Struthio camelus: one gene and its partner. The main gene of each other region encodes a partner of the protein of the gene in region 2 in a complex. Links are inferred from orthologs where the notes say so. Each region holds a gene or a part of one and is shown on either strand. Other genes may lie near its edges.

Region 1 (7,468 bases), on a different chromosome or scaffold from region 2:
CAGCATCTTGTGGAGCGTCTCATTGAGCGCGTTGGAGGAGAGGTACCTGCCCACAATGAACCTGTCCCAGGGGCTGCGCCCACGAGGAAAGTACTCCAGATCAGTCCTCTTGATCATCCAGTACTGGGGGTTTCTCACAACAGTGTCCTCTCCTGGGATGAGGCTCCAGAGCCCAGGGTCAAGGATCACTGGCAGCATGAAGTCGACACGGTCAGCAGCAAGAGCCCCAAGGCCGTCAAGCAGGGGACCGCTGAGGAAGAGGCTGCCAAAGGGCAGCTCCGGGCACTTGCTCTGCAGGAAGTTCTGCAGTTCTGCGCAGATGTCCCTGGCCAGCTGCTGCGTGAGGGCCACCTGCTCCTCGGGGATGGCGAGGTGGCTGCTGTAGTGCAAGAGGAGTTTCTCCTGTAGCGTGAGGCAGCGTCGAGGGCTGGATTCGACCCGAAGAGTCTCTGGAGGGGCAGAACAGTCCCTGGGCTCTGTGAAGAGGGGATGGGGCAAAGGGAAGGAAGAAGTCAGCAAGGGCAAACAGCTCTCAGCAGATCATCCACAACACACAGCAGCAGCTTCTCCTGCCACATCCAAGGGGAAGGCCCGAGCTGAAAACCCAATTCTCGGCTCGAAAAAAACTCGATTCTCGGCTCATCTGCCCTTGGACACAAGGCCAACGTTGCCATGAGGGGCATCACTGAGTACTTTGATGTTAACAGCCCCTTTCAGCCGAGGCAGAGCTCAAACCAACCGTAAAACCGTACAGCACCCAGCACAACCTCCTGGCTAGAGATGGATAAACCAGGCGAAGCAATAGCAGCCAGAAGGGTCCCTCGCAAGTCTCAGCCGCAGTTTTTGTCCCCGCCACGCTCGGCTAGAGCCGGGCCCTGATGTCTGCCTGCTAGCCTGAGTCCGACAGACGATCCTGCTCTGGGCCAGAGGGCTCCTGGGAGTCTGCTATCTCAGGATCAGCCCTGCACCAAGCTGGGCAGGTTTTCTGCTAAGAAAAATGCCGTCTTTGTAAGCCAGCATTTTTCTAGGTGATTTATGAGCATACTTTCCTCTCTAGATAGAGAGCTGACCCAAAACCAAGCACAGCAGATACCGCTCAAACAGAAACAAAGCCCAGACAGCCTTCTACCACGACACGTTTGCCGAGACGCTCGGGGCGTTATCGGAGGTGTTATTCCTGCAGGCATTGCCTAAAAAGGGACCGCAGCTTGGGAGCCTCCCGCGAGGAAAGTCATAATCAGGTCAGCTTTCCGGTTACCGAGCTAAAAATAACCCGGAGCTCCCAGGCAGCCGGGAGCACAGCGCAGCCGGCCCTGCCACATCAAGGTGATCTTCACCAGCCCCGCGCAGGCGGAGCGCGGTGGCACCGTCCCGGGCGCGGAGGGAGCCTCACCTGGCACCGGCGGCCGAGCGGGCGAGAGCAGAGGCTCACTGAGGTCCTCCCTCCTCTGTTTCTTAGGGGGTTTTTGCGTTGCCTTGATCAAGGCCAAGTCCTGCCAGCTCTCCTCCAGGGTCTTCTGTTCTGCTTTGGGATCGCCTTCGTCGCGAGGGCTGGTGGCTCGGTCTATCAGCTGTGGGGAGACCCCGAAGCGGGGGGAGGCACGCATGCATCGCTGCTCTTAGCGGCTCCAATTCCCTGCACCCGACTGCACCCGGCTCCGGGGCTGGGGCACAAACGCCGACAGGGAGGCCCCGCAACGGGTCGCTCCCGCAGGGCGTTCCTGTTTGCAGGCGGACAACGTGCAGCGCCCAAACGCTCAGGTGCAAAGGCCAAATTGCTCTGGCCACAGCATCCTCGCACACCACGCTCTGCGTGCAAACACCAGGAGCGCGGAAGGGAAAATCCCCGGGAGCGCCCCCCTTAGCGGAACATTGCTCCTACGGACAGGGAAAAGGGATCATCCAGGATCCGCAGCAAGGAAAACCCAGCGCAGACAGGTTGCTCTCTCTGTACGTTACCCGCTTGACGGCCAGCGTGGCGATGGCGAGCGCGGCCGCGGCGCCCACGCCCAGCACCAGCCTGGCGTTGGCCAGGAGGAAGTCGACGGCGCTGCCCAGCCCGCTGTCGTCCTGCCGCTTGCCCCGCTTGGCTGCGAACTCCGCCATGGTCGCCCTGCAGCGGAGGGGAGAGGACAGGAGCCGTGGCGAAAAGCAGGATCCGGCCAGCTCGGCACCTCCTTTGCACGCACGGGACACCGGTCACTGGGTCCGGTGCCGCAGGAGACCCCGGAGAGCGCGGGAGCCCCTGGGGCGCCCCGGCCGGAGGGCACAGCGGGCCGCCCGGGAGGCTGCTGGCGCAGAGCAAGGTTCACGCCGGATGTCGCCCGCCTCCCGTGCTGCCCTTGGAGCAACTGTCCTGGCTCGGCCGCAGGCGGCTCGGAGGCCGCGGCGGCCCACGGCTGCTCGGCCCCTACGGTGCTGCCCCCCTCGAGGGCAGTACGGGTGGGCAGGTGATCGCAGGCACACATCACCCCGACAGCTGTAGCACCCCAGGGCTGGGACACACTGGGAACCCCGAACCCGCTAGGCTGGAGCCCGTGAGGTCCCCACGCTGCCTGCAGCACCGGCCCGCGAGGGCGCCGCAGAGACCCCACGCGAGACCCGCTGGCTCCGGGGGCACCCAGAAGGAGGAGACCCGCCCCCACCAGCCCCCCTGCCCCCCCCAACCACTAGGCTGCACACCCCCCGCCAGAGCCCAGGCCCTCGGGACCGCCCACGGACACCGCAGCCGGGCGCGACCTCCCCCGCGTGTGCGCGGCCCACGGTGCTCCGCAGCGGGGCTCGGGGACATCCGCCTCCCCCCCCCCCCACCGCGGGACACCCCGCGCGGAGCCCCCCGACCGGAGTCCTCCCGCCCTCCCTGCGCGCGCGGAGTCGCCCCCACGCGAGACCCCCCCCTGCCCCACGCGCGCGCTCACCCCAGCGGCGCGCGCCGCGGCGCGCCCGGACGTCCCCCGCAGCCGGCGGCGCGGAGGCAGCCAATGGGAGCGCGGCGCCGCCCGCCCGCGTTCGGAAATAGAACGCCGAGCGCCGGGCGCGCTGCCGTCACGCGCCTTAAAGGCGCCGCGCGGGCCGGGCGCGGGGCAGGGCTGCGGGCCCGGCGCGCCCCGCCGGCAGCGACGGGGTTAAAGCGGCGCGGGGCGGGGCGGCGGCGGGGGGTGGCGGTGCCGGCGCGGCCCCCCCCGGGTCCCCCCGCCCTTCCGCAGCGGCGGCCATGGCGGCCACCGGGGTGCTGCCCTTCGTCCGCGGCGTCGACCTCAGCGGCAACGACTTCAAGGTTGGGAGCGGGGGGCAGCGCGGCCGCGCACCGGGCCGACGGGGACGGGGCCTTCCACCCCCCGGCCATCCCGGCCCCACGGGGCCCGGCGAGCGCCGCCCCACGGTCCTCGGGATCCCGCTCCCCCCCCCCCCGGCCATGGCCGGGGGGTCTCGCCCTCCCCCGGACCCCCTAGGGCCCCATGGGGCCGGGCGATCCCAGCCCCCCCACGCGCGGATCCCGTGGGGCCAGGCAATCCCGCCCCCCACGCGCGGATCCCGTGGGGCTGGGCGATCCTGGCCCCCCAGCCCGGATTCCACGAGGCCGGGTGATCCAAACCCCAGATCCCATAGGGCCGGGTGGTCCTGCCCCTCCCCCAAGCCTGGATCCCGTGGGGCCAGGTGATCTGAAACCCAGATCCTGTGGGGCCGGGTGATCCCATCCCCCAAGCCCAGACCCCATGGGGCCCGGCGAGCGCAGCCCCCCCAAGCCCAGATCCCGTGGGGCTGGGTGATCCCGTCCCCCAAGCCCAGATCCCATGGGGCCGGGTGATCCCGTCCCCCAAGCCCAGACCCCATGAGGCTGGGTGATCACAGCCCCCCAAGCCTGGATCCCGTGGGGCCCGTTGGGCCGGGTGATCTGAAGCCCAGACCCCATGGGGCCAGGCGATCCCGTCCCCCAAGCCCAGACCCCATGGGGCCAGGCGATCCCGTCCCCCAAGCCCAGACCCCATGGGGCCAGGCGATCCCGTCCCCCAAGCCCAGACCCCATGGGGCCAGGCGATCCCGTCCCCCAAGCCCAGACCCCATGGGGCCAGGCAATCCCGTCCCCCAAGCCCAGATCCCATGGGGCCGGGTGATCCCATCCCCCAAGCCCAGATCCCATGGGGCCAGGCAATCCAAAGCCCAGATCCCATAGGGCTGGGCGATCCTGGCCCCCTCCTAGGCCTCCCTCAGCCCCATAGGGCCAGCTGATCTTCAGGCCCCACATCTTGGCCCCCCCAACCTCACATGGCCCCAGTGAGCCAGGTGACATTGGCCCCAGGCTCTGATCCCATGGGGCTGGGTGATCTCGGCCCCCTGGGGCAGCCGGGGGGGGGGGGGGGGCTGCGCTCCTTTCAGCTGGGCATATGGGGCTGGCGGGAGGGTCCGGCCTCCTGCCTTGGTTTTCTCACCCTTCGTTTTCCCCCCATCCCTCCTCTTCCTCGCAGGGCGGCTATTTCCCCGAGCACGTGAAGGCGATGACCAGCCTGCGCTGGCTGAAGCTGAACCGCACGGGGCTCTGCTACCTGCCCGAGGAGCTCGCCTCCCTCCAGAAGCTGGTGAGGGGCCGGGGCGCCCGGCCGGCGACAGAGCAGCGCGTTTCGGCCAGGGGATGGGGCTGTCGGGACCCTGCTGAGTAACCTGGTGTCTCACAGCCTCGTGGCTCGTCGCCGGGTGCTCTGAGGTCTAATAATAGGGCTGAGCCATGAACCGTGGTTGAAATTGGATGCAGGAGCTGTTAGGGGAGGGATTGAGATAGGCTTGCGCTAGGCTTGATCTTGTTTTCGTGGAAAACCAGGCTAAAAACCATGCTTAGGTCCTCTGCCCCCTGATAGAAGGGAAGGGTGAAGGTTTAAGTTGGGGAAGACTAAATTTTGGGGTTTTTTTTCCCTCCTTGCTAAAAGATATGAAGAGCAGTAATTGGCAGCTGCCTGGCTTTGGTTTTGGGAGGCTCAAGCTCTGTGCGAGACCAGGCCTTCGGTGGAGTTAATGGCTAACCTTTGCTTTTGGCAGTGTCCCGCAGTGTGTTATGGACACAGTTAAATGAGTGTCAGCCAAACGTGATGCTTTAAGCCCTGCCAGAAAGGCTGGTCCCCGCTCCGAGTGTGCCTGCTTTGGTGGCAGGGTGGCTCCGAGCACCCTTCCTCCGAGAGACGCTGCGGCGGGACAAGCTCTTGGCGATGTCGAGAGCAGCGCTGCCCAGCAAATCCTTCAAGATGTTCAGGGGCTACGGCTAGCTTAAAATCTGGGCCTTGGCATCTCATGCGTAGCGTCTCAGCAGCGCTGCCCGGGTCAGGGCTGAGCTCGCCCCGTGCCGCCGCCAGCCCCATCTCGCCTGCGATGCCGGAGCCCCGGTTGCTGCCTGGAGCCGCCCCTGCCGCTCTCCCCCGGGCGCCTTTCTCACGGTGGCTTCTTTGGGGCTTCCCTGCAGGAACATCTATCCGTGAGCCACAACAGCCTCACCACGCTCCACGGCGAGCTCTCCGGCCTGCCCTGCCTCCGGGTAAGTGCCCAGCTCTGTGCACCCTCAGCATCCCTCCTGAAGCAGGACCGGTGGCCCCCGGCACCTCTCAGCCAGCCCCTGCTCCGGGGACAGCAGCTTCCCGAGCCGGCTGGGCTGAGCAGGGAGATGCCCTGGGCACACCCTTCATTGCGTCACCCCCTTCTGGGAGGACTCGTGTCCCTCTCACCAGCAGGCAGAGCCCTCCCACCATCCCGTGCCTCAGTTTCCCTGGCCATCGGCATGGATGTGCCTGGCTGGGCAGAGCTCAGCAGGGCTCCGGGTGGCTGCAGGCCACGGCCTGGGCACCACCTCGCTGATGAGGCCGGCCGGGCCTCGCTGACCCCCAGCTCATCTCTCTCCCCTTTCCAGGCGATCGTGGCTCGTGCGAACAGCCTGAAGAACTCCGGAGTCCCCGATGACATTTTCCAGCTGGACGACCTCTCGGTGCTGGTACGCACAGCGCCTCCTGGCCGCCCTTCCCTGCAGCTCTGCCCAGCCTCAGCCACCATGGGAGGCAGCTCCGGCAAACACGGGAGCCAGCCAGACTCCTGGGTTCAGCTCCGCTGCCTCGGAGGCACCTCGCTCCTGTCTGGGAGCACACCCGGGCTGTACATGCACAGCAGGGCTGAGGGCGTCTCGGGGGAAGGTGCAACGAATCAGGTCCCGGTGCTTCCTGGCTCCCTTCGACTTTCTGGGGCCCTGGCTGTAAATGTCTTTGCTGCAGCTAGAAATCTTATCTCCTATCGAATCCGCGTTCTGTCATGCGCAGCCTGGAGGGTGGCAGGAGAGCCTGGAAGGACCGAGTGACAGTGCGCAGGAATGGGACAGGCCAAGCCCCCAAAGATGCCACTCAGTCCTGGGGTTTGCATGGTGGCTGCTGGAGGTGGGACCCTCCCTAGGGTGGAAGGTGACGCCTGCTTTGCTCTTCCATTTCTCCCAAGGACCTGAGCTACAACCAGCTTACAGAGTGCCCCCGGGAACTGGAGAACGCCAAGAACATGCTGGTCCTCAACCTCGGTCACAACAGGTAGGTCCTGGCCACCTCCATCCATCACATCCGTTGCTCCCCCTTGCTCCAGGTCCAGCTCTCTGCCCTCTCCGTGGCGGCACCCGGGGCTGGCGCAGGTGCCGGGCTGCTCTGAAGAGTCCCATGTCCCTGCAGCATCGAGACCATCCCCAACCAGCTCTTCATCAACCTGACGGACCTGCTCTATCTCGACCTGAGCAACAACAAGCTGGAGAGCCTCCCGCCACAGATGAGACGCCTGGTCCACCTCCAGACCCTCATCCTCAACGACAACCCCCTCCTCCACGCGCAGCTCCGGTAAGGCCCCGTTTTCTGGGCAGGATCCTGCCATGCCGGCATGGGGTGGCGTTCAGCTCACCAGTGGCCCAGCCCTGGCTTGGTCCCCCTGGGAAGGGGGATGGCCTGTCCCTGGGGTCCCCTGCTTGGCCGGACCCATGGCTGTGCCAGGGTCTGACTCCAGCTCTGTCACTGTCTCTGTCCCTGGGTCTCTGCAGGCAGCTCCCAGCAATGACAGCCCTGCAGACCCTCCATCTCAGGAACACCCAGCGCACCCAGAGCAACCTTCCCACCAGCCTCGAGGGCCTGACGAACCTGGCAGGTAGGGCCAGGGCACGCGGCACCAGCAGCCTCGGGCTCTCCCGGCCCTGGCACTGGGCTGGCCAGCAGCCTCACCCCACTGTCTTCCCCTAGATGTGGACCTGTCCTGCAACGAGCTCAGCCGCGTCCCCGAGTGCCTCTACACCCTGAACAGCTTGCGGCGCCTCAACCTCAGCAGCAACCAGATCGCAGAGCTGTCTCTCTGCATTGACCAGTGGACCCAGCTGGAGACCCTCAACCTGTCCCGTAACCAGCTCACCTCCTTGCCCGTACGTAGCATACCAGCCCATATGTCATGTCCCTGCACTTGCCTCTGCGCCATC
Region 2 (7,044 bases):
TGAGAAGTATTTTGCCAGTACTGTTTGTGCAATATGTAGGATTTGTATGCAGTGCAAATGTTAAGTATGTTACGTACTGGATAAATTGAAGTGTGTCGGTCAAATCTTTCTTTCTTTAGACAAATATGACGACAGCACAGAAATTTCCCTACTGAGGTCGTGGCTTGTGGTCTCATTGTCTAGCATGAATTCATTACACTGCAAGTGACTTTCCTACTGTGATCGGTGCATCAATATAAGAGATTCCAGCTGTCTAAGTAAATGGAATATCAGGATGACATAAAACTACGTAAGTTCATACCATGGAGAAGAAAGACTGGAAATTTTGTTCTCCTGACTTCAGACTTGTTTTCCTTCAAAGGAGAGGTTATAATGAAATTAAAAGATGACAAATTCAAAACTGACACTAACTTGTTTGAACTGTGTGTAATTAGATCATGAAACCTGTTAGCACAGGAAGTCGTTACAGCCAAGAATTTAGCTTGATGGATCAAAAACTATTATAAGGTGTCTAAAGCAATCTAGTTTCAAGTAATGTTGATAAAACGGAAGGAATATTGAATTGTCTACTTCAGAGCTTTTGGCAATATCAAAATTACTTACTACATAGTATTGGGATCATAAGATCTTATTATTGCATTTTTGTATTTTCCCTGGAGCATTGGTGCTGGACATCTTTAGAGGTGAGATTCTGAGACAGATGGATACCAGGTCAGATTCAGTGTGGCAGTTGCTGTTTTCTTGCTGTTGTCAATTGCTTTTAGTAAATAACCAGCCTGACTACTACTATTTTATCACATCGAGTTTCTTGCTCAGTACAGTATGAGTCTGAGATAGAAAGCAGACAGATAAAGCCACATATGATCCTTGCTTGTTAAAACGATTATTACTTTGGCACAGAACTCTAACTGGGATAAGATAATTGCTTCATTTCATAAGCTGATAAAGGATATGATGCTTCATAGCAAAGGTATTTCCAGCTTCCACTTTTTAGCCAGAAATGTACAATGTTAAACTTTGCATCCTGATGTTTCCTAGTCTTGTATTTTCTTTAGTCCTTTCCTCACATTTTCCTTCTCTTCCTTAATTCACACTGGGTTGCCTTTTCTTGATAGTCTTTTTGACATCTCTGCTCAACTCAGTTCAGCAACTGATGTTTTCCATGTATGTTTCTTGAAATGTTATACAGATCAAATTCCAAGAATGGCCATACTGGGATAGACTAAAGGGCAGGCGTACACAGTATTTCTGCTTGATGCTCTCTCAGCCTCCAAACATTGCAGCTCAGAAATTTCCAGAGCTAGATGCAAATTCTACCTAGGTATTTATTTACACGCAATGCATTTCTCTTCATTAAACTTGTTCGGTCTCCATCTCAATTCATGTAAAATTTTACTGTCCACAGCGTCCTTTGGCAAGGACTTCAATAGGTCATCAACCCACCCATGAGGGTCTACTATCTTTGCTCTGTTCTGAGCTGGCTTCTTCTTGCTTCATTAGATGCTCCAATAATTCTTGTATTGAAAGGGAGAATAAACAAATTGATCGTCTTCCTACCACTCCAGGCCACTAGATTATACAGACCTCAAATCCTTCCTCCTCCCTTCTTTCTTTTGTAGAGTGGCAACTCCTAGCTTGCTTAGTTGCTCCTCATTATCAATGCAGTTTCACACCTTTCATCATTCTGGCTGTCCTCCTCTGAACCTTTTCAGTTGTATATCCTTTCTGAGATGTACCACTTTTAGTTTAAATTAATATGTGAAACAGACTGTACTTGCTGACCCATTTCACAGTGCTGTCCACTAGGTTACACGGAAAACGAAAGCAGTAGGAGAAAAGACAGTGGCATAGAGAAATAAGTTTCTCCTCTACCCACTTTAGATGCCAACAGTTTCCATTCCGATGCAACAAGGATGTGTCTCCTTCTTTTTTTCCTTTTTTTTTCCTTCTCCTTCTAGGAGCTCGAGGAAGGAGATAAGATGAGGTTCCGTGATAGACCTCGTCAGGGAACTGCAAACCCTTTAGAAAGTGTTATGGCTGTGTCAGTGTATGCAACACAGGAAATATGCACTATTGTTCTGGCAGCAGGAGAGGCAGATCCTGAATGGCATCCTGGTATTAATGATCTTAATGTCTCTTAGACCCGCCAGTTTCAGCACACTTGAAAACCAATGGGTGAAACCATTGGAAAATCATGGCAGGTCATTGTATCACTATGATAAGAAGTCCTCCTGCTTTCTTCCTCATCAACAAGTTATTTAGGCACTTCTTCATTTATTTTTCCAAGTGTTAACCAGTTGTTTCTCTCTATGCTGCAAACAATCATTTCTGACCGTTTCAGTTCGCTTAACTATCTTTTTGCTTTTGTCAATAAAATATCAGTTCTCTAAGAAGCCGTGTGAAATTTACTGGGTAAGAATGAGAAGCTGTGTTGAAAAGATATGTAGGCAAGAACATATTGCCCTTGTGTATTCTCCCTTTCATCATTCGATAATTTCAAGAAATGAAGAGCAGAAAAGACTTGACTAATTTGGACTGAATAAGAATACAAAGTCTTATGTCAACCAGAACTTTAAAGTTTCAGAAGCAGTTGCATTCAGGAAGGGACAATGCCAGAATTCAGTTCAGAACTATTACATATTCATAATTTATCTTTGAGAAAATGCATTCAAGGGAAAGATATTTAAAGATCAGATAGCTTTTTTGTTATCTTTTATCACAAGTCATTCTCAGGCTTTAGTCTATCTTTTTCTAAGATACAGCTGAATACTAGATCTTCCACAGTTTTCCGCTTCCCAAGCCTCACCAGACACCTCATCCAACCCTACTATTATGCATCTGAGCCGGAAAATTTCAGATGAAGAGGTCAGGTAAAAGACTGGCACCTAAAGCAAAGCCATCAACAAGAAAGCAAATAGAATAAATATAATGGAATGATGATTACTCAGTAAGAAAGATCTTGAAAGAGATAGGATGCTTTACTTCTGTTTCAGTATCTGATTCTTATCTGGAGACATTTTGAACATCCTCCCAGGCCAGAATATTGAGTAAGATGGGTCAGTGCATCTAAGTAGTCAGAGAGAGATCTATGTTTGCAGATAATTGCAAATGGACTCTTTTCTGTACATAGCTGAGCATGTATGTAGCTGTGTCATCTACACGGAGAGGTTTTTAAAATGCTGCTGGCAGGGAGAAGGCTTCTTGGGGTGCATGTAAATGACTGAGGCGAAACACGAAAATACTTGAGGAGGGGCCACAGCAACTGCTAAAACTTTTTAGAAAATATAAAAGGCAAAGGCTGTGTCTGCTTTTCTTACCCCCAGTTTTACCCAGCGGTTTTAAATCTAGGCTCCTGCTGCCCTGTCAACTGTAACTGTCTGTTTGTATGTGTACCAGTATGGGAGAATGTTCTTTTTGCTGCATATTTTGTATGACTGGATCTTCTCTGGCTCTTTTCTCTCCCTTAATGAACCCCCATGATGCTTTCCTCCCTTTTTTTTCCCTCCAAGCAGTTTTATCTTCCCATCCTGTCGGCTTGGTGGGACCAGCCTGTTGACAAGTTAACAATTTGCCGTCTAGCACCCTTGCCGGGCCAAGTGGCGGCGAGGCAGTTACCGGGCAGCGGGCGGGCGTGTTGCCACCTCTGGGTTGTTTCCCCTGGCGCTGGGGCAGTGCTGCTTCCTGAGGGGTTTCAAGCCGCTCGCTGCTACCCGCGCCTCGAAGGAAAGCGGCCTCTCGGCCCTGCCGGCTCCAGAGGGCCGCCAGCACCAGCCACGGGCCGTGGCTCCGGCCTGCCAACCCCTGGCGCAGGGGGCCCGCGTCGCCTCTGAGGCGCCCCTGACTGCAGGAAAGCAGTAACCCTGCCTTCCCTAGCTGGGAGGGGGCCGCGCCCGCTGCCGTTTCCCGAGTCCACGCGTCCGTTTACGGCCCGCGACGAGCCGTTGCCAGCCGCCCAACGGCACTACAGCTCCCGTGGTGCCGCGCGGCGGCGGCGCCCCGCCCCGCCCCGCGGGCGCGCACAGCCTGCTGGGGGCCGGGGCCGTGCGCGGGGGCCGGCGCCAATGGCGGCAGGCGGTGGGGGCGGCTGACGGGAGCCGTTGCCCGTCGCGCCCATTCATTGCCGGCACCTGCGGCCCGCGGCCGGGTTCCGCGCCGCTATGGAGGCGCTGATCCCCGTGATTAACAAGCTGCAGGACGTGTTCAACACGGTGGGGGCCGACATCATCCAGCTGCCGCAGATCGTCGTGGTGGGCACGCAGGTGAGGCGGGGGCGGCCCGGCCCGGCCCGGGCGGGGCGGTGGCAGCGGCGGCGGGAGCGGCCGTCGGTGCCGAGCGGCGGGAGGCGGCAGCCCGGCCGCTGGGGGCAAAGTCGAGGCACCCTCCCCCGCGCCTCGGCTCGGGCGGCTCCGGTGCTGCCTCTATCAAGGGCACGGGGGGACGCGGCGGGGCGGGCCGCCTCCCCGCCGCCTGCGGCCGCGGCGCCTCTTCCCCTTCCGCCGCCCGCCCGCTCCCCGCCTCCCCCGCGCCGCCGGCGGCTGTGGCCGGTGGCGAGTGCGAGGGGCGCAGCAGCGCGCTGGAGAAGCCGCCTCTCGCCGGCGTGCACCCTTTTTTTTTTTTTAACCCCCTCCCGCGAGGTCGCTTGACAGTTCCTTGCGCTGTTGGGACCTGTTTGGCTCGGGCAGCGGTTTGGAGCGAAAGGAGGAAGCGGCACAGAGCAAACCTGGAACAGTTGCGGCGTGCGCATCCCAGCCTGGTAGCGCTGGAGGGTTATAAATTGTTTCGGAGCCTTTCGGAGGGACGCAAGCGCGCTGTAGTTGCTCGACAGAACTCTCCGCGACGAAATGTGCCCAGCCAGAGCTGTCGGAGTTGTAGGCTGAAAATGAAGCATTTTAGCACAGCTAGAACTGCCTGGGAGGGGAGTGCTTTTTCATTTTTAACTTGGAGTTAATGGGTCTCTTTGTTTCTGTGAAATTAACCGTGCTTATGAATATTTGATGTTACTTGACAATAGCCTGGCTACATAAGAGACAGCAGTATCAACTGTTCTGCGGTCAGTTTGAGATGTCATTATGTGGCTTAAAACAGATGCTGCGTGTTTAAGGCTTACACAGTGCTGAAGCACGGACTAGGTTTGCCCATAGCTAATTACACTCTTGAAATGGTTGTAAGGCAACCAGCTGTCAGTCTCTTTTACTGATATAAATCAGGTAGATTCATGGACTTTATATCAATTACTTTATAAAATAGATCTGAAATACTTGCATTGTGTGGGAGAGACTTTGCATTCACAGGTTATGTTAGGTTCTTGCTGTTTTTGTAGCTAAAAGGAGTCCATCACCTTCTGAAGACATTTAATCTCTTACACTAAAAATCATGCAAGCAGGCTGTATTTTTTTTTAATTTCTATAGCAGAAATAGGTGCAAGGCAGAGATATGGCATTTTTCTGTGTAATGTTAATGGAAGTATTATTTTCTGTTTCACTTTATGAAACACATTGAAGTGACACTTTATTTTTTGGATTATTGTTGCTTTATAGCAACTTGATCCTAGTTAACTGCTCATAAATACATAGAGTAGGTGATGCGTGTTACGATTATACTGACATGCATTTGACTTGAACAGTCTACCCTTGGGTAGTAACATCCATTCAATTTCAAATTTGGTAAACTCATGAAAAGACATAGAATAAGGTAAAATAGTGTGATGCCTCTTAGCACACCAAGGCCAAGAGCTTTATAGACTCCAGAAAAAATACAGCAAAATGTCTGTGAAATTATAATTACATTATATAATTGTATTATAATTTCACAGACATATATAAAGCCCTTGGTCCGTGATTTTTTTTTTTGTTTGCAAAACACTATTTTTAGTCAGAGTTATTGGAAGAAATAATTGTTCTCACTGAAATGCTAATTCTTTAGATAGTTATTTTACCCAATTCATTCATTTTAAAAAACACTTTATTTTATTCATTTGAAGTTAGCTTATTGGCTACTAGATTTCTGGATTTGCCTCAAATATGGCCCTATAGCCGATCCTATTACTACTGGTGCTTTGCTTCCGTGATTTGTTTGTTTGTTTGAGAAGACACATTTAAAAAAAAAACCAATATCCTTTGGTCGGTTTCTTGAGGTATTTTTGGTTAAGTGATATGTGACCGCTAAATTTGTTCAGATGATTAATTTCTTTGTAGCCCACTGGCTTTTGCAGTCTCTTGTTTTTTCTTTTTTGTATAATATTAACAACTTTCTGAATTTCGCACCTTCATTTTACTATGTGGAAAAACAAATGTTATTAACATTTCTGTAACCCTCCATTAATTTTTTTTGTCTATTTTGTCTGTTGCTTTTCTAAAATGGCCTTTTTTTATATTTAGCATGGAGAAAAAAAAACCTTTTTTAACAGTTTCACTATTCATTTGTTTTCATTTACCTTCTGTATCTGTTCTGTACCCTTTTACTATTTGTTTTGTACTTATGTCTTTCTTCAGTTCTCATTTATTTCTACTTCTATATGCCAAATTGATTTCTTCTTTTTTAGAGTATGTAGAGTTAGCAAGTACTTAAAATCTTTAAGTTATCTTTGGATGTTTTCTGTTTCTCCATGTGCCTCTTTCCCCCTCTCTCTTGTTTGGAAACTCATTTCCTATCTTCCTTGAAAACTCTGAGCAACTGAGGTGTCCTAATTTTTTGATTTTTGTAGATGGATTTTGATACTAATTACAAAATACTTCTTAGTAGATTTTAAACATTTAGATGGCCTCTTGCTCTTTTTCTAGTCTCATTCTTGTGACTTTGTCATATGAGAATTGCTTCTCATTTTCTACTTAAATACTGTGTAGGTTATTTCTGTATCCTCCTAGAGTGTATTAAGAAAACCGAAGACTCCATTTCCTACTGCGGGAACTCGGAGAATGCCCTTGGAATGCTAACTCTGTGTTGCTATTTTAGGGTTTTTCTGTCATTCTACAGTGGGTTTTCTTTTTATTTATCTTTTCCTGAATCTGTGTTTCAGTTCCCTTTTTACAACTATTTCATTAAAGT

Evidence for each region. The genes of interacting proteins can lie anywhere in the genome.
Region 1: the proteins of DNM1L (region 2) and MIEF2 are in contact, whole or in part, in a cryo-EM structure (PDB 5WP9), measured with the Homo sapiens proteins. The link is inferred for Struthio camelus from reciprocal best matches to the Homo sapiens genes DNM1L and MIEF2. Residues at the interface, in NP_036192.2 of Homo sapiens: Asp190, Met191, Ala192, Thr193, Ser194, Leu197, Lys198, Ile199, Arg201, Glu202, Gly223, Thr224, Asp225, Asp228, Arg233, Val234; in NP_631901.2 of Homo sapiens: Val213, Asp214, Thr215, Val216, Arg218, Arg226, Leu230, Arg235, Val245, Gly246, Tyr248.

What each region holds. Positions count from the first base shown.
Region 1 is NC_090956.1:3,624,649-3,632,116, forward strand, and holds the start of MIEF2 (mitochondrial dynamics protein MID49), read right to left. Parts: upstream 3,006-7,468; 5' UTR 2,919-3,005; intron 2,114-2,918; 5' UTR 2,107-2,113; coding exon 1,960-2,106; intron 1,572-1,959; coding exon 1,394-1,571; intron 477-1,393; coding exon 1-476. Other genes in the region: FLII (protein flightless-1 homolog), read left to right, coding at 3,215-3,277, 4,467-4,577, 5,450-5,521, 5,891-5,971, 6,463-6,548, 6,684-6,845, 7,043-7,146, 7,239-7,414. UniProt on the Homo sapiens protein: Mitochondrial outer membrane protein involved in the regulation of mitochondrial organization.
Region 2 is NC_090942.1:67,416,874-67,423,917, reverse strand, and holds the start of DNM1L (dynamin-1-like protein), read left to right. Parts: upstream 1-4,028; 5' UTR 4,029-4,157; coding exon 4,158-4,259; intron 4,260-7,044. UniProt on the Homo sapiens protein: Functions in mitochondrial and peroxisomal division.